Astyanax mexicanus: one gene and its partners. The protein of the gene in region 3 interacts with the protein of the main gene of each other region in a biochemical or structural test. Links are inferred from orthologs where the notes say so. Each region holds a gene or a part of one and is shown on either strand. Other genes may lie near its edges.

Region 1 (7,729 bases), on a different chromosome or scaffold from region 3:
CAGGGTCCTTGGACGTGAGGGAGTTTTTCACCTGCAGCCCGGCAGCGACTCTGGCTACCTGGGTGTTTCCAGGATTAGCCAACACCTTGGAGAGCTCCACCAAGAAAGTGGGCTGAAGAGAAGAAGGAAGAACACAAAGTTAACAAAAATTAAATATAACAAACATTTTAGTGGCAACATAACAGAAGCCCCTACTATTTGGGCTGACTAAATTCAAATTAACAGGGTAACATAGGCATAGTTATGACAATAAGTTGTTGCATTAAGCTTTGAGTACATTGCAATATTTTCCTTACAGCTGAAACACCAGCCAGCTGCAGATATTATATAGCACAATTATATAGTCCTGTTTCATAAAACTCATTGTGTGAAATACTGAATTTAGTACAACACTTATAGTACTTCATAACTTATTTTAGTAAAGCAAACAATTGTAATGCACATAGTTATTTTTAAAAAAAGCTAAATATTAAGACAACACTTGGCTGCTCCATGTAAAAAAAAAAAAAAATCTCTTCTTCCTATGAGGGAGTTTGTCACTTGCTAATGACTGGTTCACTCAAAAAAGGGCTGGGACTAAGTTGCTTTGTTACAACACTGATACAAATAATTGAACTTCAGATATGTTGTTAGGGAGACAAACTCCTTGGCTGTACAGTGCAATCCCTGGAACTAATCTTAGAGAACAAGCTCATGTGTAAATAACCTGCCTGTTTTTTTACAATTAACTTTCCACGGTCAGGCATAAATCTCACAGCACCGATGGCAATAAAATAACTAGGCTGCATTGAGATCAAATTCAATCCACCAAACCAATCAATAGTATGATATCAGATAAATGTAGGTGAATTATATTGCTCTGGTCAGAATGCAACTGTCAAGTAGGAACAAAGTCAAAGAATTGGAGGGATACGTCTGATTTTTACACATCTGTAGCTTTAGGAGGCATTAAATGAGCCAAGATTCAGTACAGCTTTACAGTATCGTTTAAAAATAAATATCAGTTTATTTACTCAATTTGAATCTTATCAATCTTGTGTCGTATATAATGTTTACTATACAGCAGTACATATAAAGCAAACTGGCTTACTGTCTGACCGGTTTATCTGGACCTGTAACATGGTGTAATGCACACAGCTGTGCAGGCATTTGCGGCAGGACTCGCCGTTTAAATCAAGGGATTAACAATCAGTGATACGGGAGTTACAGAGGCCCAGTGGCCTGCTAACGGTGAGCTGCTCCATTCAGGGCAACGTGTGGAGGAGAGAGAGAGAGAGAGAGAGAGAGAGAGAGAGAGAGAGAGAGAGAGAGAGAGAGAGAGAGAGAGAGAGAGAGAGAGACCAGTGCTCACTGCAGTCAAGCCTTCATCAGTCTGCTCGAATTTAAACCAGAAGAAATAAAGCTTCACGAAACTTACCAGATTTTCAATCGCTGCCTGCTCCAAAAACTTCTGCGCCGCCTCCAGCTCATTTTGATCTGAGGAAAATGACAGACTGTAAATGAAGCTTCAGCAAACCAACCGGTGTACACAGTTAAAGTTGGAGAGACACAGTAAACGCACAACAAAAATTATTAAAAAGTAGAAAGTTTATATCTAGCTATAACTCTACTAGTTAACTAGCTAAAGCCGTGTAAGTTAACGCTAGCTAACGTGAACCTCCCCTTTTAAGATGTAGCTACCACTCCCTCCCGCCGGGCATGAAGAGAACCAGTCCCGGTATCCGCTAACATACCGGTCCAACCCAGCCTGCAATACCGGCCAACTCTAGCCCAATTTCAGCGTTAAAAACACATAATAATCGGCACAGACGCGATATCTCACCTATATGTGCGAATTAAGCTACTGATCTTTTTTTATTCCCCGAGATCTGCGCGGCTATAAACCTATAAACTTTTAATGAGCCGGCTAGCTAGATTTTAGCGCTCTCTAGCTAACGCTAAGCTAGTCTTACGGCTAACTGAGCTATCGCCAACTTCTGACGGGTTAGCAACCGACAAACTTACCAAAACGAAATTCTTTAGTAAATAACGCCACTTTTGTTAATTTATATACACTTTACACACACAGAAAACGCACTAAAACGTTTACGTGGGTGTTTATGGACCCAGTACGGACTCAAACGGCTCACAAAATCAGCCAAAAAACCCGCGCCGAGTTAGCTAGCCAACCTAACGCTAGCTTGGTTAGCTAAGCTAGCGAGCTAACGGGCCGGTAAACGCTAAAAGCTGACAGCTAACCGCGCATTTTTCAACACCCGCCCCACACTACATCACCGCCCCGACCCTACGTTACGACCTTTCTATTTATTAACGAGTTAAACCATATATATCATATATAAAATCAGCATACAGCACACTGTGAGCTGAAGGAAGTCGCTAAAGTTGAATCCAACTAGGTATCCGCCGTTCGAGTTTTCAGTCCACCTTAAAACCCGTGCCGCAGGTTCACTGTGGCGCTGCGATACGACGTTTAAGGTGGAACTGAGAGTTAGAAAGAGCGCTAACTTCAGCGGCGTCCCAGCTGGGCCCATAGCATGCTAACATAGCTGGCTAGCATAGAGTTAGCCGCCTTGCTAGCGGTGCCTAGCCCGAACCCAGCCTGTCAGCCAGCATTTCAGAGCATTTTAGACAATCTTCCCCCAGAACTGAGGCAGCGGAACTGCAGCCAGCCTGGGAGGAACAGCACAGGGTGTTTAGAGATTAAAGCGGCACCTGGAGAGACGGTTTTCTCGAGGATCGTTATCAGCTCCATCCCGGATTAACACCTCACACTCGGGCTACAAGAGAGGGGCTAACGCGCTGCAGATGAAACAGTGGAACTCTCGGAAATGCCCCGCTCTCTCTTTCCCCCGTCTCTCGCTCGGCTCTCCGCACTTGGCCGGTTGTTTGTTTCCTCGCCTGTTTGTTGTTTGTCGTTCCGCGTGCTCTGCTCCTCTGTTCCAGCAGTTCGCACTCTGCCCCGCGTGCGGAGGGAAAAGAAAGGCCCGCGAGACTCCCGCGGTACGATCACGCGCATGCGCGCTGCACTTTAAATAAATAAATATATAAAATACCCGTACACCCCTCCTGCGCGCTCCCGTGACTCAGCATGCGCGCTCTCCAGATGAGGACAGGTTCTTCAGAACATTTTTTATTTTATTATTTTAATATAATTTATTTAGGAATAAATTAGTGAATTAACCCATCAAAGCCCAGACTCAGTTCTGAATATTGATCTAAAATGAAAAATGTAATCGGTTAAATTAATTGAGCAGCTCATTCGTGTTTTTTTCTTATTGTAATTAATAAAAAACACTAAACTTTTAATATTTTATGGTTAACATTCCAATAAAACATAAACAGTACAACAATGTCATAAGTTGTATTTTAACATTTTATTCTAGAAATAATATCAGCACCAGTTATATACACTTTTTACTATATGATGAAGCTAGAACTAACTACCTCCAGAACTAACCCAGCACTCCTACATTCTGTAAATAAGACCAGATAAACAAGCACACATCTACACACTCTACTGTAATGCTCCCAGAAGGTTCAGTATGCATCACTTAGGAACTTCATGAGTTTAAGTGAAGGACAAAGTGCTTTAAGTAACTTTACACATCTTTTAAAGGCTCAAATCATCATTGGCTGTTTTGGGATAAATACGTGTTCATGTGTTAATATTAATGTTATTTATTTAATATTTTGTTATTATTTCGATGTGATTTTTTCTGTTAATTATTGGATCATAATATTAACAGGGTAACTTCAAGAATCTTTAACATGTTGCTCTGTGCTCACCCTGCAGATAATTTCACCGGGTACCTACCTCAATCCCAAATTCATAGCCAAGAAAGCCCAGCAACATCTTGTAAAGACTGAAGAAAGCTCAGACTGAGGAATCATCCCTATATTTTACAGAAGGACTGTAGAATCACAGCATCTCTGTCCTATAACCTATATAACCTATAACCTAATCTAATATTGAGGACAGCTGAGATCGTCTTTAGTCTCCATCCTCTCCATCCTAAACAGAGGGCCATTTTTGGGGGTCCCAAGCAAAATGCATTTTTTGCCAGCTGCAGGAATCACAAACCTGGCTGGATGATTACTGTCAGCAACTAGTGGAAGGGCCCCTTGAGGGGGATTCCGGTATCAGTGTCATTGTACTTTCCTGCAGTGACCATCACAGAATCATCATAACCAGTCAATGTCTCAGGGCCCTAGACAATTGATTGGTTTTTCTTGCCTTGTTGCAACGGGCCTGATATTTACACCACACACCAAATCGGCAAAGCCATCACTATTATAAAAACTCTCCTCAATCCCCTACAGAACCTTTTTAATTAGTGATGCTGTCTGACAGAAGGTACCAGAGCACCTCTGCTCTGACTGGCGTGCTCCTCAATAAACAGCAGCTCTGGGCCACAGTCAGAGAGGCTGTAAAGTTTTGGCTCATAGTTTCCATTTGTACAGTTGCTGTTATTGTATACAAGATGTCCTCCATAGTACACCCAAAGTACAGTCTGATCATTATTAATGATTGGATGCTTAATTACCAGTATTAATTACTGAGTGATTATTAATTAGGTGCTTGTTGTTCTCAGGGTTTTCCTTTCTGCTTGGCAAATGAGGGCTTAAACCCGTTGGCTGCTACTTTCCCATAATCCCCTGGTCCGATCTAATAAGGGGCGCTCACTGTAATCCTCACAAACTTTCTGCTCCACTTGTTTCGAGTCTCATATCTGAGACCAGTAAATAAATGTGCAGTACTTAGTAAATACAGAAATAATAATCGGTTATAGTTTAAGTTTAAAAACCTGAAAAAGAGCTGAATTGTTTGATGCTTTTGTGTGGAAAATTTGAGAGCAGTATTAAAATAATTACCAATAATAAACAAAAATGTCCTACTAAAGGTTTTTATAAACCTATTAATTCTGGACTTGATCTAAGACATTATCAGGTTGTATGACTCCCTTGAGAGGCAGTAAGAGCAAAAACTGTCCCTGTCCTGTTGCTGCTGTCTCGCGACACCCACCTACTGTCCCGTGACACTCACGTACTGTCTCGCGACACCCACCTACTGTCCCGCGACACTCAGGTACTGTCTCGCGACACTCACGTACTGTCTCGCGACACTCACGTACTGTCTCGCGACACTCACGTACTGTCCCGCGACACTCACCTACTGTCTCGCGACACTCACGTACTGTCCCGCAACACTCACCTACTGTCTCGCGACACTCACCTACTTTGTATTATGACACTGGAAATATTATATAATAGATTTGATGGTCAAATCTAGGGGAATTATCTCATAAGTCTTAAGTCGTCTCAAAAAAACTAAGATAAGACACAATGTATCACATTGCGGCACAGTTAAAAGCTCCACAGGACAGTTAAAAAGCTCTGCAGGACAGTTAAAACAGTTAAAAACCTCCGCGGTACAGTTAAAAAAAACTCTGCGGTACAGTTAAAAACCTCCGCGGTATAGTTAAAAAACCTCCACGGTACAGTTAAAAACCTCCACGGTACAGTTAAAAACCTCCGCGGTACAGTTAAAGAGCTCTGCAGGACAGTAGGAGAGTGTCGCAAGACAGTAGGAGAGTGTCTCGGGACAGTAGGTGAGTGTCGCGAGACAGTAGGAGAGTGTCGCGGGACAGTAGGAGAGTGTCGCGGGACAGTAGGAGAGTGTCGCGGGACAGTAGCAACAGGACAGGGACAGTTTTTGCTGTTACTGCTGCTGACTCCCTTTTAGGTTTAAATGGTTATGGTGGGCGAGATAACCAGCCTGTTATTTTTTAAAACATGAGAGTTTTAGAACAGTAACACTTTTATTTATGATCGGGTGTTCAGCAATACGCAGTCAGTAGTATAAAGTTTACTGAAACTATTGTGTTTACTTTCTTCGTTTTGAATGCTTGACAAGCTAGTGAACTAAAGTAGACGTTTTTGTGCTAGACTTACATGATAAATTCTAATTTTACTTCTCTTGTACTCTGTACACTATTGGATGAATATAGTAAAACATTTCATAATTGACAACTTTGGGAGATACTCTGAGGGGAAAGTTCAGGTCAAATTTTTGGTATATCTGAATTCTAACCAGTTTGATTTTTGACAGTCTGGACAGTCAAAAAATACATGAAATAATTTTTTAAAAACTGGATCCAAACTGCATTTGGAAGTGGTTTAAAATGCAATTGCATTCGGATTTGTAAAGATAGGTCTCTGGGTGATCAAATCTGATTTTATCATTGTCTTTGCATCACTTACAATGTAATAAACAGCAGTTTCATCCAATTCAGAGTGATGGAAGTGGGGAGTCCAATAAGAACGACAAAGATTAGGTAACGACAGTGACCTTGTTAACTTATCAACTCATTTAGATATGCTTTTAATGTCTGGACATGCACAGTCATCTCAACAAATCTGATTTGAGAAACTAATCTGACTTGCCTTAAGTCTAAGACTAACCACAAAAGGATACATGGACAAAAGTATTGGGACATGTCTAAATGACTGAACTCCAGGATGTCCTCCCTCCTTAATATTCCATAACTGTGATTTTCCAGCTGTGAGCGGTATGTGTCTGACCATGTACAGGTACAGTGCAGATGTGCTGACTGCTGAGGAGGGCAGTGCATAGAAGTTTCTAATGCTCTTAAAGCTTCAAAGGGAAGGTAAACTCTATATTAATGTCTCTGGGTTCAGAAGGGGACGACGTCTTAAAGGCCACGTTCACATTACAAACCAAATTGTCCAAAAACGTTTTTTTTTTTTTTTTTTTGCTCAGATTGGATTTAGATATCTTGACGGTTCACATTCTCAAATGTAAGTGACCTGTATCTGTGTGTAATGTGAATGAATATGTCCCTGAAACACCTCACATGCGCACACTGATTTGTGTATAAACGTCGCCTTCTTCACCACCAACACAAAACGTCATATTTGAGAGGCGACTCGTAGCTTTATAAAGGGAAATGGATGAGTTAGCAGCTCATATGTGGAGCATCTTTTGCTGGAGTGGAGAACAAACAGCTGGTCTGAAGTACAGTTCAGGTCGAGGAGAAAAAAAACAACCAGGCGGTTTGCTTTTGCAGTTTTTGCACCCATAGCTGCACCAAGAGAAGTGTGGGTACGAGAGAGAAGCACATAGGGCATGCACAAAAGAAAAAGATGCATAAATTCTGATTTGACCATTCACATTCATTTCACATGTCAATGTATCGAATAGGTATGTGATTTAGGACCATATGAAAGTGACTAAAATCTCATTTGAAAAAAAAAATTGGCCACATTGAGCAAAAAAAAGCAGATTTTTCTTCAGCCTGGTAATATGAACATAGCCAAAAGCTCATGTATGTGTAATATGTAGGTGCCCTAATACTTTAGTCCATGTAGTGTGTTGATACATTTGAAACAAAAAAAGCTAAAGCTAACTTTAGCCTGGTGTACCAAATTAATAAATCAGAGCTAATAAGCTACTCAAATATAACAGGCTAACATAGTGATATTTCAAACTAATACTAACCAACCTAACCCTACTAACAGGGTTAAATCATGATAACATAAGCTAATAGTGCAATAGGTAAAGGTCAGTCAGAGATCACAGTAAATTAACTAAGGATTGAGATGCGAGGTCCACCTGTGGTGACACCCATTTCACATCAGCTCAACTGCAAAATTCTAGTAAGACTAACAAAGTAACATGAAGCAGGAAAAAAAGTAAAAGAAACCTTGA
Region 2 (7,984 bases), on a different chromosome or scaffold from region 3:
TATCAGAATTTACTTTACATATGGCACATACAGATGTTTACAATAAATTTCAATCAATGCAGAACAGCCTGGTCATTATTACAAGAGAAACTAAAGGAAAAATTAAATCACACACCATGTTCATTCACTCACACTGCTTGTCATTATTCACAGCCTTTATAACACATCACAAACCTGTAACAGCGGCACCAGAGCTTTCAGTGTTCATTGGTTCAGCATCTCCAGAGCTGCTCTCCATTTTAAGGCCCGTCTTGGTGTCCTCCTCAAACTCCTCCTTAAAGACCCAGCCGGACACAGCCAGGGGCAGCTGCACAGGACAGTTCCTCGCTTCGCTTCGCATATGGGGATCATCCAGAAACTGCAGCACATGCATGTGCACACACAAATTTGTGAGTATCTGGCTATTAATATTGTTTTAGATATTAATACTATAATAATTATCATAACTGTTGTTCAGTTTATTTAATTACAGTCCAATTTCTATATTTCATTTTATCTTTTTTATTTTCACTTTATCTGTAATTATGCTTAGATTTATGTTTTTTGTTTCAAAGGCATGACTGGGATGAAACTTAGTGCTTTCTTATTATTTCCAATAATACCAGCACCTTTAGTAACATCCAATCAACCACTTCACATCTATGTATGTCTATTAGAGGTGCGCCATATCGTATTGTACACAATAATACTCATAATTAAAAATAAAACAATTTTGTCCGAGCAGTATTCTGTCTAGAAGCTGTCTGTTTTTTATTTGTATCTGTTTTTCTAAAATTTTTCTTAATATTAATTAAATAATGGGGGGCCCTCATATACAATTGTTAAAAAACCAAAGTATGCAGACTACAGACAAAAACTGTGCCATTTGATTCAGGACTAGACTTAGAAAAAAGTCTACATGTATTCATGTCAGTTTGACTAGTTTTTTCAAAACTTTAGCGTATTTTGAAAAGGTCAAAAGGTCATCTGGAAAAACAAAAAATGTGTGAACTTTCCAATTGAACACTCCTGATAAACAATGACAACATGTGGAAAACCTTTGGCACATTCTAACGAATATGAATGAATATTCTACAAACCTCAACAGATTTGTATATATAAAATTAAGCACTGATTATGTTTTAAGGACTCTGATAAACAATGATAACAGATGAAAGCCTTTTGACCATCTCCAAAATGTGACAGTGTGTCCCAAATTGTATTAGACCTTCTGAAACATCACCAACCTTTACTCTAGTAGGCATCATTGTGCCAGTTTGTGCTTAAACTTAGACTGCCGCTTTTGGCTATATTTTGTTTTATTTTTGTTACAATATTATTATTTTATAAAACGTTTCTGGCCTTTAGAAATTATGAAGACAAATAACTTTTAAAAACATTATCCTTTTAATCACATTTCAGTCTGGACTGCCATTGCTAGATATTTAATTATTTCCCTTTTTGGAATTCATGCCCCATAAGCACACTTACGTTGTCTCTTTCCAGTTTGCGCAGAATCTCTTTGGTCTCCTCCTCAGTCTCCCTCTTCTCCTTCTTAATGTTGATGATGGGGGAGGGGCCAGTGTTGGGCGTTTCTCTTGCATCATCATATACACCTAACAAAGAAACAAAAAGTCAGAAAGCAAGAAAAATGCATGATTCTCTTTTACTGCTGAGAACTACTGGTACTACATAAAGTACACATTCGTGCTTCTTTATTTTTCTTTATTTTTAATGGTCAAATGGTTAAATGGCTGACCTTGTATAGTTAGCATAAAAATGAGTATTTAATTTGGCCCAGCCTGTTTATTAATACTAGTTTAAAGCAGTATTATTCTCCTGGGTTTCCCCTACAGTTGTGAAGTGTAATTCACTTCTATTTCATTGCAGTAAATACAAACTGAGTTTTGTGCTCCCACTCATGAACAGGCTGTACATATGCATTTGTTAATAAGCTGAGAGATACACTGTTGGCATCAGAAGTGATAGAAGCATGTGGAAATAGATGGTAGAGTAATACTAAATTTTTTGTGGTTCTTGTCATTGCATTTCCCCCTGACCTGTATTTTATCATACCTCTCCTCTTGGCCATCATTTCCGCAGGGCCCTGCTCAAAGATAGAGTGGGACTGAATGACCTCTGGGCGACCCCGACCTCTGCCACGCCCGTCTCGCTGCCGCCCTCGATCCGCATCTTTCCTTTCTCTCCTGGGTCCCTCATCAGCTTTCAATCTGCAACAAAACAGCACAGCTACTGTAAAGTAAGGCCAGCTAAGGGTCATTATATTACACTGGAAAAGACATTTGATTGCAATACACTCATGTAAAAACTTACTCTTCTTTACTTTTACGACCAATGATGTTAGGTGTGAATGTTTTCTGTGGGGCAGAACAAGAGAGAGAGCACAGTTGCTTAATACACTGACACTGTTTTTTTTTTTTTTTACCAGTGAAAACAATGCAATCTGGTGTACCTTTTTTACACCTCCCAGTGTGAGGTCTCTTGAGCGCATGGTGGGGAGACGACCGGGAGAGAGAGCAGCAGGCAGCCTGCGGCCAAGCACTGAACCTCTGCCACCACCTCCAGGCTGAGGGGTACGGGGTGGTCCAGAATCACCAGAGCCTGGTGTGGCCATTTTCACACTATAATTACATGCAAAATTTGACATTTAATCATTGCTGTGAATTGTTTAGTGCTTTGCATTACATAGTCAGTACGACAACTATTGTTAATATGGTGTTACATGCTGTGTAAAGTACTGCAGATTCATACTAATATTCCATAATATTCCATAATGGTTACTGATTAGTAAATAAAACAGTACACATACAGCTCATCACTGCTGTCCAATGAAAACCTCCATTTCTGTCTGTTTTATGTTTTGTGAATGACTTGAATCCTGTGGATGCTCTCTACACTGTGTAAATAATTATTGATGAATGGACCAATAGAAATGATCTATTAATGTGGAATGAACTCTTATTTTGCATTGAATTCCATGGAAATTATGAAAATTTTTGCCTTTTGCTGTAAAGTCACAGTTTTGGAGGAACTTGTTTTTTAGCGGACAGCGACAATATTCACACAGGATTACAATCAGGTCACTATTACTGCTGTCAGTGTATATATATTCTCAAGTTACTACAGTCATGCTGGAAAACACATTATATATTTATATTGGCTAAACATAAGACACATATACATATTCATGCTATATTAAAATTACTTTAAAGTTATTACTGTCAAACTGTAGATTCATACTGGATTAACAGTATGGATTATCTATACACTTAAAAACTACAAATTCAAGATAATTACATACTGGATCAGAACCTGTTAATTTTCATTGTGATTAATGTCAAACTTCATAACCCACAAACTGCATATTCAAACTGGCAAAATACACTAAATACACACTAGTTTTAACTACTTAAAATACCCAATATCAATAAGCACAAAATCACCACCATTCCATTTTTTTCATTATTATTATTTTTTTGGCTTTGCTATTGTAAGTCCCTTATTTGTGCCTTTTATTTAAAATATTTCCTGACAGCAGTAAGACGCCACCAAATTAACTGTGCAGACCTCGCTGTTTACACTGTTTTCTCACAGGGACTTTATGTAACCGTTCTGCTACAGGTAACTTAAAAGTGCTGAGCGGCTGCAGTTCCCTCCCTCACTGTAAACACATGGCAACACATGGCTAAACTGCCGGCCGCTCAGCCGCTGAACAGGGAGCCGGCGGGCTAGTTTAGCTCATAATTTACTGCCACTGAAGAAAACGACGAGGTATTTACCTGCGAGCTGCCTGCTGTCCTACCTGAGCTCCTCAGAGTTTCCAAATTAAACCAATAAAAATAAATCTCACGAGACACAAGTTAGAATAGGGCGGAGTTTTAGTAACGACACGAAAGAGGAAGTGACGGAAAACATGTCGGTGCGCTCAAATCGGCATTACCCCTACTCCCTGTTCCCTACTCCCTACTACATACTGCCTACTCTCTAGTCCTTTTTCCTGCTGCCTGTTCCCTACTGACTACTCCCTGTTCCCTACTCTCTACCTCCTGTTTCTTCTTGTTGACTACTCCCTACTGCTTGTTTCCAATTCCAATAGTGCCTCCCTACTGCCTAGTCTCTGTTCCTATCTACTTGTTGGCTACTCCCTGTTCCCTACTCTTTACTCCCTAATGCCTATTTCATACTCCCTATTCCCTACTTCCTATTCTCTACTCCTTAATGCCTACTTCTGTTCCTCACTGTCTACTATGCCTACTCCCCACAAACTGTTCCCTACTCCCTGTTTCCTCTCGCTACTCCCTTTTCCACTAGTCCTTACTCCCTACGTTTTATCAGAAGCATTTTTCAGTTGTGACTATTTTCTGCACATTTTCAATTTCCCCAGTTATATAAAAAATACGGTAAATGGAGCGCATGTGTTAATAAATGGTGGTGAATGAAGCTAAATGGCTTATAATAGTGTCTACTACTTACTACCAGTATATTCTTACTGTTTGTAAAGTATATTACAGTATTTTGCTAAAATTAAGCAAAACATTTTTCTACAACAAATGTTTTTGGTAAACAGAGACACTAGCAATACTGCTACTGTGTGATGACTTGTCTGTGAGCTGACGCTGAAGTAACCGCGTACTGGAGCTTTAAAATTATGTGAAACATTTAATATGGTTCCGTGTTGAGAAATTGAGATTTTTCAATATAAAAATATAAACCATTTACAATCTATGATTTGCTCAATTGCTATGAGCTCATTCATTTGGAATCATTCTGGAGTGCCCTCTAGTGACTGACAAACCCAGAACATATTCTCAAGTGGGTATTGTCTTCTGTAAAAGTAAGTTATATCTCTGAGTATATCTGCATTAAATCGATATTTATAAACTATCGCATAATATATTAGCGGTTTTCCACTACATACATTTCAATCTTTTATATATAACACATGTAATTAATATTTTATGATGTGGAGATTTCCTGTCCAATTATGAAGCCTGTCACACTTGTATTTTGAAAAAGCTTTCAAGCCGGTGGGTCACTTCCTATTCCGGCCAGCTTGGCTCGAGGTAAACAAACTGCACGGTTGATATTTTATAAGTACTTTATTTTTATACCTCTGATGTAAAAACAGTCTAAATACTGATAAATTGACGTCTACTATCCCGCTACCTCGAGCTACAGTTGAAGAGCGCACTGTTTCAGTTAGCTGTATTGTCGCTAACCTGGTTGTACAGGAGCAGCTCTGTTAGCAAGCTAAGCTATGTTAGCTAGCTAAACTAGCTGGAGTGTTTGTACTGCTTGGTTTTTTATGTCTTGCTAACGCTAGCTTAACTAGTTAGTTAAACTGTTTTAATAGTGTTGGTTGTGTTGATGGTAGCTAGCTAAGTGTAATCTTATAATTCTGCTTCATTAAAGCCCCTGAAAACCAAACATGACCCGACACGGGAAGAACTGCACTGCGGGAGCTGTGTACACCTACCACGAGAAGAGGAAAGATACAGGTCTGTTTCTGGCTCCTTTAAAATGTGTAAATGTTTTTTTTTCTCTGTTTGCAGCTTTGCACAAATACAGCTGCAGAAACACAGAACGAGTCCAGAAGGTGTAACAGCTCGACCCAATTCACCAATTTATATTAACTATTAAGACTTTTTTTCAAATTTTAAGCTCCCAAATTTTAAAGTCCTAAAAAGAGTCTATGATTCATGATGTGATTTAAACCACAGAATTGTTCACATGTCTGCTTTTTTAACAGTGGACTCCATTATCCTATAATGTAAACAAATCCCAGTTAAGAAAACACTTGCTAATAATGTGAAAAAAGTGAGCTTTAAGAAGACCTTCCTCCCTGTTCCCTACTTTCTACTCCCTACTCCCTGTTTCCTTCTTCCTACTCTCTGTTCCCTACTTTGTACTTCCTACTCTCTACTTCTTACTCCCTGTTCAATACTCCCTGTTCTCTTCTCCCTACTCCCTGTTCCATACTCCCTATTCCCTGTTACTTGTTCTCTACCTCCTACTCTCAGTTCCTTAGTTCCTACTCCTTGTTCCCTACTTCTTTCTCTCTGTTCTCTACTTCCTACTCCCTATTTCCTACTCTCTACTTCATACTCCCTGTTCCATACTCCCTGTTCACTACTTGCTACTCCCTACTACCTATTTCCTACTTCCTGTTCTTTTTTTATAATTTTCACCGCAATTAAAACATGATGTGGGAGCCAGAACTGTCTTCCTGTTTTGTCTTCTGATGGCCTCTGTCTATTCCCTACAGCTGCTTCTGGATATGGAACTCAGAGTGTGCGCCTGGGGAAAGACGCGATTAAAGATTTCGACTGTTGCTGCCTCTCATTACAGCCCTGCAGAGACCCGGTTGTAACGTAGGTGGACTTTCACAAGTTATAAACTTAAACTTAGATACAGCTAAAACAATATATGGGATTTAACTGAGCATGATGTCTGTATTATTCAGTAGTTAATATGTCTGGATCATTAAGAGTGAAATATGTTGTACAGCTATTTTTTAAAATTAATTTACAGCAGTGGAAACAGGGGTTGCATTGACCTCAACACGAAAACTGGCATTTGATGTACTGTCCAATAAACACTAGTGAATCTGCACCTGTAGAATTACGATTAGTAATAATGCCTTAATATGAAAAGTGATCATAATAAAAATAATAAATTGGATTTTTTTTCATCGTTATTTAATTGCACAGCATTTTACTTGCATGCTAACAATTTTATGTATATATGTATATTATGTTGCAACCTCCACATATTTTATATCTCTATCTTCATGTACAGTATCCAAATAAACGTTTGGACACACCTTAAAGCAAGTTAACAGCAAGTTAACTGCACCACAGATAAAAGCCACCTAAATGCTTCACTATTTTGGTTTTTTTAACACTTATGTTTACTACATGATTCCTTATGTTATCCTTCTTAGTCTGGATAACTTCAGCATTCATTTACAATGTAGGAAAAATCTGAATAAGAAGGTGTGTCCAAATTTAGTCAGGTACTCTATATGTCTCGTATATATTTTATTATATATCTATATATTTATGTTTTATCCTTTCTGTCTTTATCTTGATTTTTAAAAGGTTCCATAATTTCAATGAATTATTAGTCTTTATTTAATATCAATAAAAATAAATAATAATTTAATAAATTTAGAATTTATGTTTTAATAATTTAAAACAATTTAGAAACCTTTACTCTAAAATAACCTAAAATTATTAATTAGACAGTGTTTTTTAAATCTTAGCTTTTCCTATGTAGTTTTCTATTATAATACACAATTGAATTCATAATCACTGTCCTGATATTTCTGGGGTTGTTAAACCAAGGTCCTTTTGTAACATACAAATAAACATCAAAAAGACAAAACAAGATAATTCTCTAGGAGATCTAGATCTTTATTCTCATGTGTCTGTTGCTTTACAGTGAAGATGGATTCCTCTATGAAAGAGAGGCAATACTGGAGTACATTCTCCATCAGAAATTGGATATTGCTAAGAAGATGAAGGTTTGTGAAGGCTTTGACTGCAGCTCAACTCTTTACGTTCTGTATATTATACTACAATCCTTACAATATTAGTATTTATCTCTCCCTCTCTTTTATATGCTTCAACTCCCCAAGGCCTACGAGAAGCAGAAACAGGCTCTGAAGAGTGAGGGACAGCTGGAGTCCTGCTCAGAGGAGAGGGAGAAAGTAGAGAAGTTCAAGAAAAGAGAGGGCAGCATTGTCTCCAAACCAATCAATCCTTTTATTTCAGGTACAAGGGGACAAATTCAGTTCATGTTTGTGTAATACACTTATGTACATTTATGACCTCATATTATTTAATTTATTGTCATGCAGAGGAGTCTATATTCAGTGTTAAAAAGAATTTGTTAAATAAAATAACCACATTTGGTTCCCTAAAGATAAAGGTTTAAAGAAGACTTAAGACAATAGTAGGTAAGTAGGAAAATTAGGGTAATT
Region 3 (7,568 bases):
CTGAACTTTCAATTTATCATAGTATACTTTTATGGGACATTGTTTTATGCATTGGTCTTTTGTGGCTGGCTAAATAAAGTATTAATATTTATTTGTAATGTTTATTTGTATGTAAACAAACACGCAAGGAAACACAGAGGAAGATTCTAAGGTCAGAAAAGTGTGAGGTTTTCAATGTACTGTATGATTCAACGTAAATATCCTGACAGGCCCATAGTTAATAATAAATAAACAAAAAAATATGGTTATTCAATGCATTACATCCATGAATACAAAAAAACAGATTATTAGAATTTCCCCTACTGTTTTAAGTGGTGAGTGCATTCACAATATGCTTTTAATGTTTTAATGTTTCACATATTAAATATTTCTGACCCACCTGGCAACAATTTTGCCCTCTCTTCCTCACATTTGGGCCTAATCCTAGGCCTTTGCAGATCAACAACTAAATCCTAAAGGGTGTTCCACATTTCTTGCAAACAACACAAAGAATGGTGAGACTGCCAGTGAGCAAAATAATTCAGGTTATGTTTTCTACTGCTCCTGGTTCTGGTTTTCTACTGGTTTACACGTTGCTTTATACAACCCCCTAAACATACCTTTTTGAAAAGCCTGTAATTTTCTCAGTAAACATTTAGCATCCTGAGGGACAGTGTTGTGATTCCCCGACCAACATTATTCCTATTTTCAACAAAGAATCACTAAAGATATTGCAATTTAGTCCAAGACCAGACCTAATTAATGCTCAAGAAATAGGAATGGTTTGAGATACTGGCAAAGGAACATTACTTTACAAGTTTTGGTAAAACAGTAGACAATAACAGATTACATTACCCATGAATCTAAACACTTAGTATGTTGACACTGCTACAACTGAAGAACATATCTAGAGACTGTTTGCTGAAGAGGGATTAAGTTTGTTCACAGATTATATTTTTCTTTCATTGGAATTTTTCAAATTTAAATGCTTTGCAAGCATTTGGGCTTTATTCATTTCTTAATAAGGAGAACTGTCCCTTATATCCAGGGTTGCAAAAATCTTTACAGATTTCTGTTTAGTTTTTTTTTTTTTCCTCTTCTGTCAAGTGGACCCTACTGGCAAATGTTACACTCTAAAATATTTAAAGTGAGGTTATTACTATTCCCTCAATTTCAGTTTAATAAATCATTTTCTGAATTTAATGTGGTTTAATTATGTTTGAGTATATGAACATTGTGGTTTTATTCTATAAACTACGGACAACATTTCTTCTAAATTCCAAATAAAAATATTGTCATTTAGTGCATTTATTTGCAAAAAAATAAAAATGGCTGAAATAACAAGAACAAAATATGCAGACCTTTCAGACCTCATTCTCAGACCACATGACATAGAAATAGTTCAGAAATCCACATTTGGTGGAATATCCCTGGTTTTAATGCAATTTTTATGCATTCTTGGCATGTTCTCCTCCACCCGTCTTACACGTTGCTTTTGGAGAACTTTATGCCACTCCTGGTGCAAAAATTTAGCATGAAGCACAAAAATACTCTATTACACGACAACAAGTGTAACGTTAGTGGTGTGTAGTGACCTCAGAAGCAACCAAATCTTAGATCAACAAAGTCAGAAAATTGTCCAGCAACGGTTGTCAACTGAACAGTAGGAGCTGGAGACAGTAACACGTTATTTATGTTTCACAAATAACAAAGGTATAGATCATAAAAAGGAAAAATAAAGCCAAGAAAAGACTTACAGGTATCTATGTAGACTTTGACACTACGCTTGAATTCGATGACGCCAATTCAGTGCGGTATTTCTCCTAAACTGCTGGTTAACCCCAGCACCAACAGTCAGAGACAGACCATCAGCCCTGCTGACCTAACTACATAAACAACCGTCGCTAAAGCTATCGTAGCTTAGCCTCGCCAGCTGACGCTAATCTGCCCCCCCCACACACACACACTCACAGCCACAGTGGATGACGTCCATGGGGCAGACATGACCACCTTAGAGGGATGTTTGGCTAGGAAATGTGTGCTAATTCGAGTTACAATTTGTGTGACAGTATATGCATAATATATAAAAAAGTGATAAAACGAGTAAGGACACAGCTAGCAACCCAGGCAGCTTAACATATATGTTAGTTATCTAGCTAAGAGGGCAACATTTAATAGATGGTAAAAGCTAGCATTAGCTAACATAGATTAGATATCTTAAAAACACAGCGACCTAACGGACTTTTAAACCTAATTATTTAGCTAACCTATGTAAAATTATTACAAGTAAACAAAATATCATGAAAAATATAACTAGATAGGTTAGATAACCTAGCGTTAGATAGCTAAAGCTATGTTATATAATGACATAAAGAAAACTGTAACGTTAGCTAGACAGCCTAGTTAGCGCAGTTAGCTAGCTAGCAAGGTAACGTTAGCTAGAAAAAGGCATACAAAATAAATGAGAAGGCAAATGTACCTACGCTTGCTAACTGTTAGCTACCGAGCTAGTTTTTAAGAGTTTGTGAAGGATTGGAAAAACAATCTAACTGATACAAAATAACGGCTAATCTGCGGTCTCAATTAAAAAAGGTCTTATCAATGTGGAATCTGATCTAAATCAGTACTAAAGCCTAACTGTCACCATCGACATCATTAAAAGTGGCTACACCTGTAGGTAGATGAACTAAACTATAGTGGATTAAATATAAAACTACAGAAATGTGTTTCCAGCCTTGCTGGACTCGATGTTCAGCTTTTTCGAGAATAAAGCCCCGCGGCCCCGGTGTGCGCATGCGCCACAATCAGCCGAACGGAGCCGCCTCGCCGGTTGCTCTCTCCTCTCCCTCTTGAATCCGATTTTCTGAAGCTGTCTGTCCGGTACCGAACGCGGCTCGTGTCTAAATATATGACCTCGGTCAAAAATTTTTGCCTTCTTATGACACTGACCTGTTTAAAAGCCGTCCCCGTTTACCCCGTCGTCGGTTTGGGCTGCTGATCCGGAGCGTCTGACCGGTATTGCACTACTGCGCATGTGTGACTGCGGAGGTCTGAGCTCGACCTGCGCATGCGCGTTGCTGTATATTAATAAAACGCTGGTTTAAAATGTAACCCGCTTTACAAAAAAGCCAACAAGCACAGTAAAACACTGCGTCTCTCTATATGCTGTATTCTAACCGTGCATACTGATAGAACCAGCTTTTATTAAAACTTCTCTACTGATTTACAAGAAGAACTGGCCGTCTTGGTCCCGCCTGGGGTTGCCCGAAGACTTTCAGTTTTTATGCATGTAAAGTGTGCATATTCCCAGAGGTGTCAAGTAACTAAGTACAAATATTTTTTAGGTTATCTATACTTTACTGAAGTAATTCTTTTTCTGCCGACTTGTAGCAGCTTTTTTAAACTGCATATTTAACCTGTATGAATGTTATATATACAGCTCTGGGGGAAAATAAGAGATCATTTAAAATTTTAAGTTTCTTTGATTTACCAAATTGAAAACCTCTAAAATAAACAGGAAGATGGATGATTACAAGCCATCAAACCAAGCTAAACTGCTTGAATTTTTACATCAGGAGTGGCAAAACGTTATCCAAAAGCAGCGTGTAAGACTGGTGGAGGAGAACATGTCAAGATGTATGAAATCTGTGATTAAAAACCAGGGTTATTCCACTAAATATTGATTTTTGGGATTCATCTTGCTGGAATTGTGAAAGAGTGGTTTAGGGAGCATGAGGTCATCATTTTCACACATGGATTGGCCACCACAGAGTCCAGACCTTAATCCCACTGAGAATATTTGGGATGTGCTGGAGAAGATCAGTGCAAGACCTTGGTAAAAAAAATAATGCAACACTGGACTAAAATTAATCTTGTGACATTGCAGAAGCTTATTGAAACAATGGCACAGCGAACGCGTGCCGCAATCAAAGCTAAAGACGGTCCAACCTAATAATAGACTGTATGACCTTTTGTTTTTGGTGGCGACCTTTTTTGTCCAGGCAGTGTAAATATACGTTTTAAATATATGTTTGGTGTTATCATTGAGTTTTATAACCGCTAGATGGTGCCACTAACCTACACGAGTAGTGCGGTGTGTTAAAGGTGTCTGATGGAAAACTGGATTTTATTTTAACAGAAAAATATATTTTAGAGGCAGAAAATTGAGCTGTACAGTGTAGCACATGATGGGATTTAATATTAACACTAGGACAAAAGTTGCCAAACAATTCCCATAAAATTACGAGAAAATACCATACCTAATTTAACAATTTGTAACTGTAAAATGACACAATTTCTTTGTGTATATTATTTGTTTATGTTAGGGCCATAATTGTATATTGTTAATAAACATTCTTAAAATGTAATAAAATAAATAAAACACTGCATTAATATATGTTTCATCTAATTATTGTATTTTAAGGTGAATTCAGTTTAACACCCTTTCAAAACAGAAGGATAATTTTTAAAAGCACTAAATGAATTCAATGCTTAAATGGGTTTTTATATAAAGTGCAGTGTTATTTCTGTAATGTTTTATTAGCACTTGAAACTGAAAAATCTTTATATAGCACTTGAACTTTTTCACATTTTTTTCACGTTACAACAACAAACTTAAATGTATTTTATAGAGATTTTAAGTAATAAACCAATACAAAGTAGCACATAATTGTGAAGTGAAATGAAAATAATACATTGTTTTTTAAATTTTATAAAAGAAAAATATGAAAAGTATCCAGCCTTCTTTACTCTGTACCCCTAAATAAAATCCAGTGCAATCAATTGGCATCAGAAGTCACTGAATAAGTTAGAGTGCAGCTGTGTGTAATTTAGTCTCAGTATAAATACAACTGTTCTGTCGAGGCCTCAGTGGTTTGTTAGAGAACACTAGTGGACAAACAGCATTATAAAGACCAAGAAACTCACCAGACAGGTCAGAGATAAAGTTATAGAGAGGCTTAAAGCAGGGTTAGATTATAAAAACATATCCCATGCTTTAAGCATCCCAAGGAGCACTGTTCAATCCAACATCCAAAAATTATTATTATTATTACAAATTATTGCAAATGTATTTTGGTGGCAGCGTGAGCCATGTTTACTAAGAATGTTTACCCGTCCCACCCGTCATAATTTATAGTTTATGTATTAGTAGTAAATCAGTGTTTTAATAGATATGGAACTCTCAGACCTTTTTACAGCCAGAGCTTATCAATTCACCTTGATTTCAGTTTCTAATTTATCTTCTTTGAATGATGATTAAATCAGGCAAACAGTGGAAAAACATGAAGGTGAAAGTATGCAGTATAATAAAAACATTTACCTTTTGTAAATTTAAAATCACTGGCATGCATGTCTAAAGAAATTATACCCAAAACCTAGTCCACAGAGCGTTTTAATACCATTAAAGGCCAACAGTTCTATGTGATAGGTCTAATCCTTAGATGTCTGCACCATTCAGGAACCCAATAAATTGTTTATTATTAACTTAAAAAGCAAGTGTTTCATGTCACTATGCTCAGAGAAATGTTAGTTTAAATCCCAGAGCATGCTGTTTGTTTTAACAACTGTACTCTAAGAAAGCACAGTTGGTCATGCTAGTGTGATGTTGGTCAGCAAAGGCATCTGTTGGCTGATGTATCAAAGCTTGGGAGGTGCGCTTTCCTCAGAGTGGGCTGGCTACCCAGTGATGCTAAATCAGGTCAGTTTAAAAATAGGCGGTGTCTAATGTATGCTGCTTTATAGCATATATGTTCTATTTTTAGATGGCTTATTCTCAAACATTTTTTTTTCTTTAAAATTAGGTCAGGGGAATGTGAAGGACAAACACTTTTTGTTTACTACATAATTCCATACATGTCCCTTAATTGTTTTGATGTCTTTGAAATTATTGTACAATGTAGAAAATATATTAAATAAGGAAAATAAAGAAAAACACTGAATGGAAGGTGAGTTTACTGGTCCTGTATATTTTAATATATATTTATCTCAGCAGCATGTTTTTGTCTGGAAGGTTGTCTTAGTTGAACCCTAATAGGTGGTGGCCAATAGTCAGAATGTACTGTTGCTCATTAAAAGCAGTGTGTGTGTATTAGTATCCTTATCTTAGGTCAGGGGGATGTCTTGTTCACGTTAACTATTAACAGACGCTAGGGGGCAGCATTCACACTGCGCTATAAAGCAGTCGGTCTCTGCGCTCTGTGGCCTGTGGACCATAGTTTGCAGAGAGACCCCAATAGAAATGACAGTGTTTCCAGCTTTGCGGCGCATCAGTGCTGCAATTAAACCAGTTTTCTCCGTTTACTGCCATGGAGGACTCGCATCTGTCCGTGGACTGAGAACATCAGCTGTCAGCTTCAACCCAGATCCATCTAATCCTGGTAAAAAAGAGTGTGTGGGGGGGTCTCTTTATATTGGCAAAAGATTATGAATTATTCATCAGTGCCCCTCTGATGAACTTTAAAAAAATATATATATATATAAAACATAATTTACACAAGGTAAATTGCTATAAACAAATAGCAGGAGATGTTTGGAGCTGTATAAGTCTCTATCTCTTTCTGTGTGGGGGGTCATAGGGCATCTTTACCAAGGGCTGTATCCTTATCATATCTTGTAACTTGCTGATGTGGGGCTCTCTGCACTTCTAAACAAATGAATGAACAGTTTCTACTCATCTTCTGCTGTGGTTGTGTTGGAGCTTTTATAGTATGTGCTGATCACAGCAGCGTGATTGTTGTAGAGATCAGTTGAGACGGCCGGGTCATGGGTCACACTCACGTTTTATCCTGAACAGCTTTTTGTCTATCTCTCTCTGAAGCTGCTTCAAAAGTTTTACTACTACTTTACATGTACATTTACATCTACTTTTGGTCCACAGTACAAAGTTATAAATTACAGATGTCATACACACATAGACTTTTCTCTCTCTTTTTTTAAATATTTTAAATTTAAATATGCCATCTTTACAGACAAAAGAAATAACCATGTTCACAATGAAGGTCACAGTAAAAACATGTCATTTTAAACCATTTGTATTGGTTCGTTATAAAATATGGGCATAAAAAGTAAAAAACAGCATGTGATAATGTGATTTTTTTTCAAGATTTAAAGTTAATTAAAACATTTACTTTTGACATTTTTATACATTTAAAAATACATTTATTTCTGTTTTTCTCTTTTTACATGTTAAATTGAGTAAAACACAATTTTAAGAATAACAGTTAAATGTATTTTTACTTTAATTACGTAAGTTTATTTAATGATGGACTGAGCAAAAGTAAATTAAATATATACAAAATTCCTACAATTAGCTCAAGGTATAGTTTAAAGCAGTAATATTTAATTTCTTGATTTCATACTCCCCAAACCGTCATGTGTAATTTACAGTTTAAACCAAGCCAGTCACGCTTTACTCACAAATTTGTGTGATATGGTGTAATGCAGGATTTTACACAAACAGGATCCTGCACAATTCCAATGTTGCATCACACAGTAACAGCATGCTGAACCTGGAATACCAGCTATTAAAATGCTGTTCTCCTTATTAAAATTCAGATATTTTTATGAGCCAAAACAGCTCAATGAATAAA

What was found.
Region 1: the proteins of kpna1 (region 3) and kpnb1 form a complex in vitro, tested with the Homo sapiens proteins (6 studies listed by BioGRID and IntAct, with this or other methods). The link is inferred for Astyanax mexicanus from reciprocal best matches to the Homo sapiens genes KPNA1 and KPNB1.
Region 2: the proteins of kpna1 (region 3) and nitric oxide synthase-interacting protein form a complex in vitro, tested with the Homo sapiens proteins (2 studies listed by BioGRID). The link is inferred for Astyanax mexicanus from reciprocal best matches to the Homo sapiens genes KPNA1 and NOSIP.

Annotation. Positions count from the first base shown.
Region 1 is NC_064410.1:32,300,413-32,308,141, reverse strand, and holds the start of kpnb1 (importin subunit beta-1), read right to left. Parts: upstream 3,008-7,729; 5' UTR 2,753-3,007; coding exon 2,713-2,752; intron 1,477-2,712; coding exon 1,418-1,476; intron 113-1,417; coding exon 1-112.
Region 2 is NC_064426.1:19,991,524-19,999,507, reverse strand, and holds the start of nitric oxide synthase-interacting protein, read left to right. Parts: upstream 1-4,969; 5' UTR 4,970-5,063; intron 5,064-5,093; exon of another isoform or gene 5,094-5,198; intron 5,199-5,412; 5' UTR 5,413-5,428; coding exon 5,429-5,498; intron 5,499-6,265; coding exon 6,266-6,371; intron 6,372-7,443; coding exon 7,444-7,525; intron 7,526-7,639; coding exon 7,640-7,775; intron 7,776-7,984. Other genes in the region: polr3d (DNA-directed RNA polymerase III subunit RPC4), read right to left, coding at 175-358, 1,471-1,595, 2,056-2,210, 2,314-2,357, 2,453-2,614. UniProt on the Homo sapiens protein: E3 ubiquitin-protein ligase that is essential for proper development of the forebrain, the eye, and the face. Catalyzes monoubiquitination of serine/threonine-protein phosphatase 2A (PP2A) catalytic subunit PPP2CA/PPP2CB.
Region 3 is NC_064408.1:95,811,437-95,819,004, forward strand, and holds the start of kpna1 (importin subunit alpha-5), read right to left. Parts: upstream 3,052-7,568; 5' UTR 2,929-3,051; intron 2,311-2,928; exon of another isoform or gene 1,737-2,310; intron 1-1,736. Other genes in the region: si:ch211-161h7.8 (thiosulfate:glutathione sulfurtransferase), read left to right, coding at 6,218-6,356. UniProt on the Homo sapiens protein: Functions in nuclear protein import as an adapter protein for nuclear receptor KPNB1. Binds specifically and directly to substrates containing either a simple or bipartite NLS motif.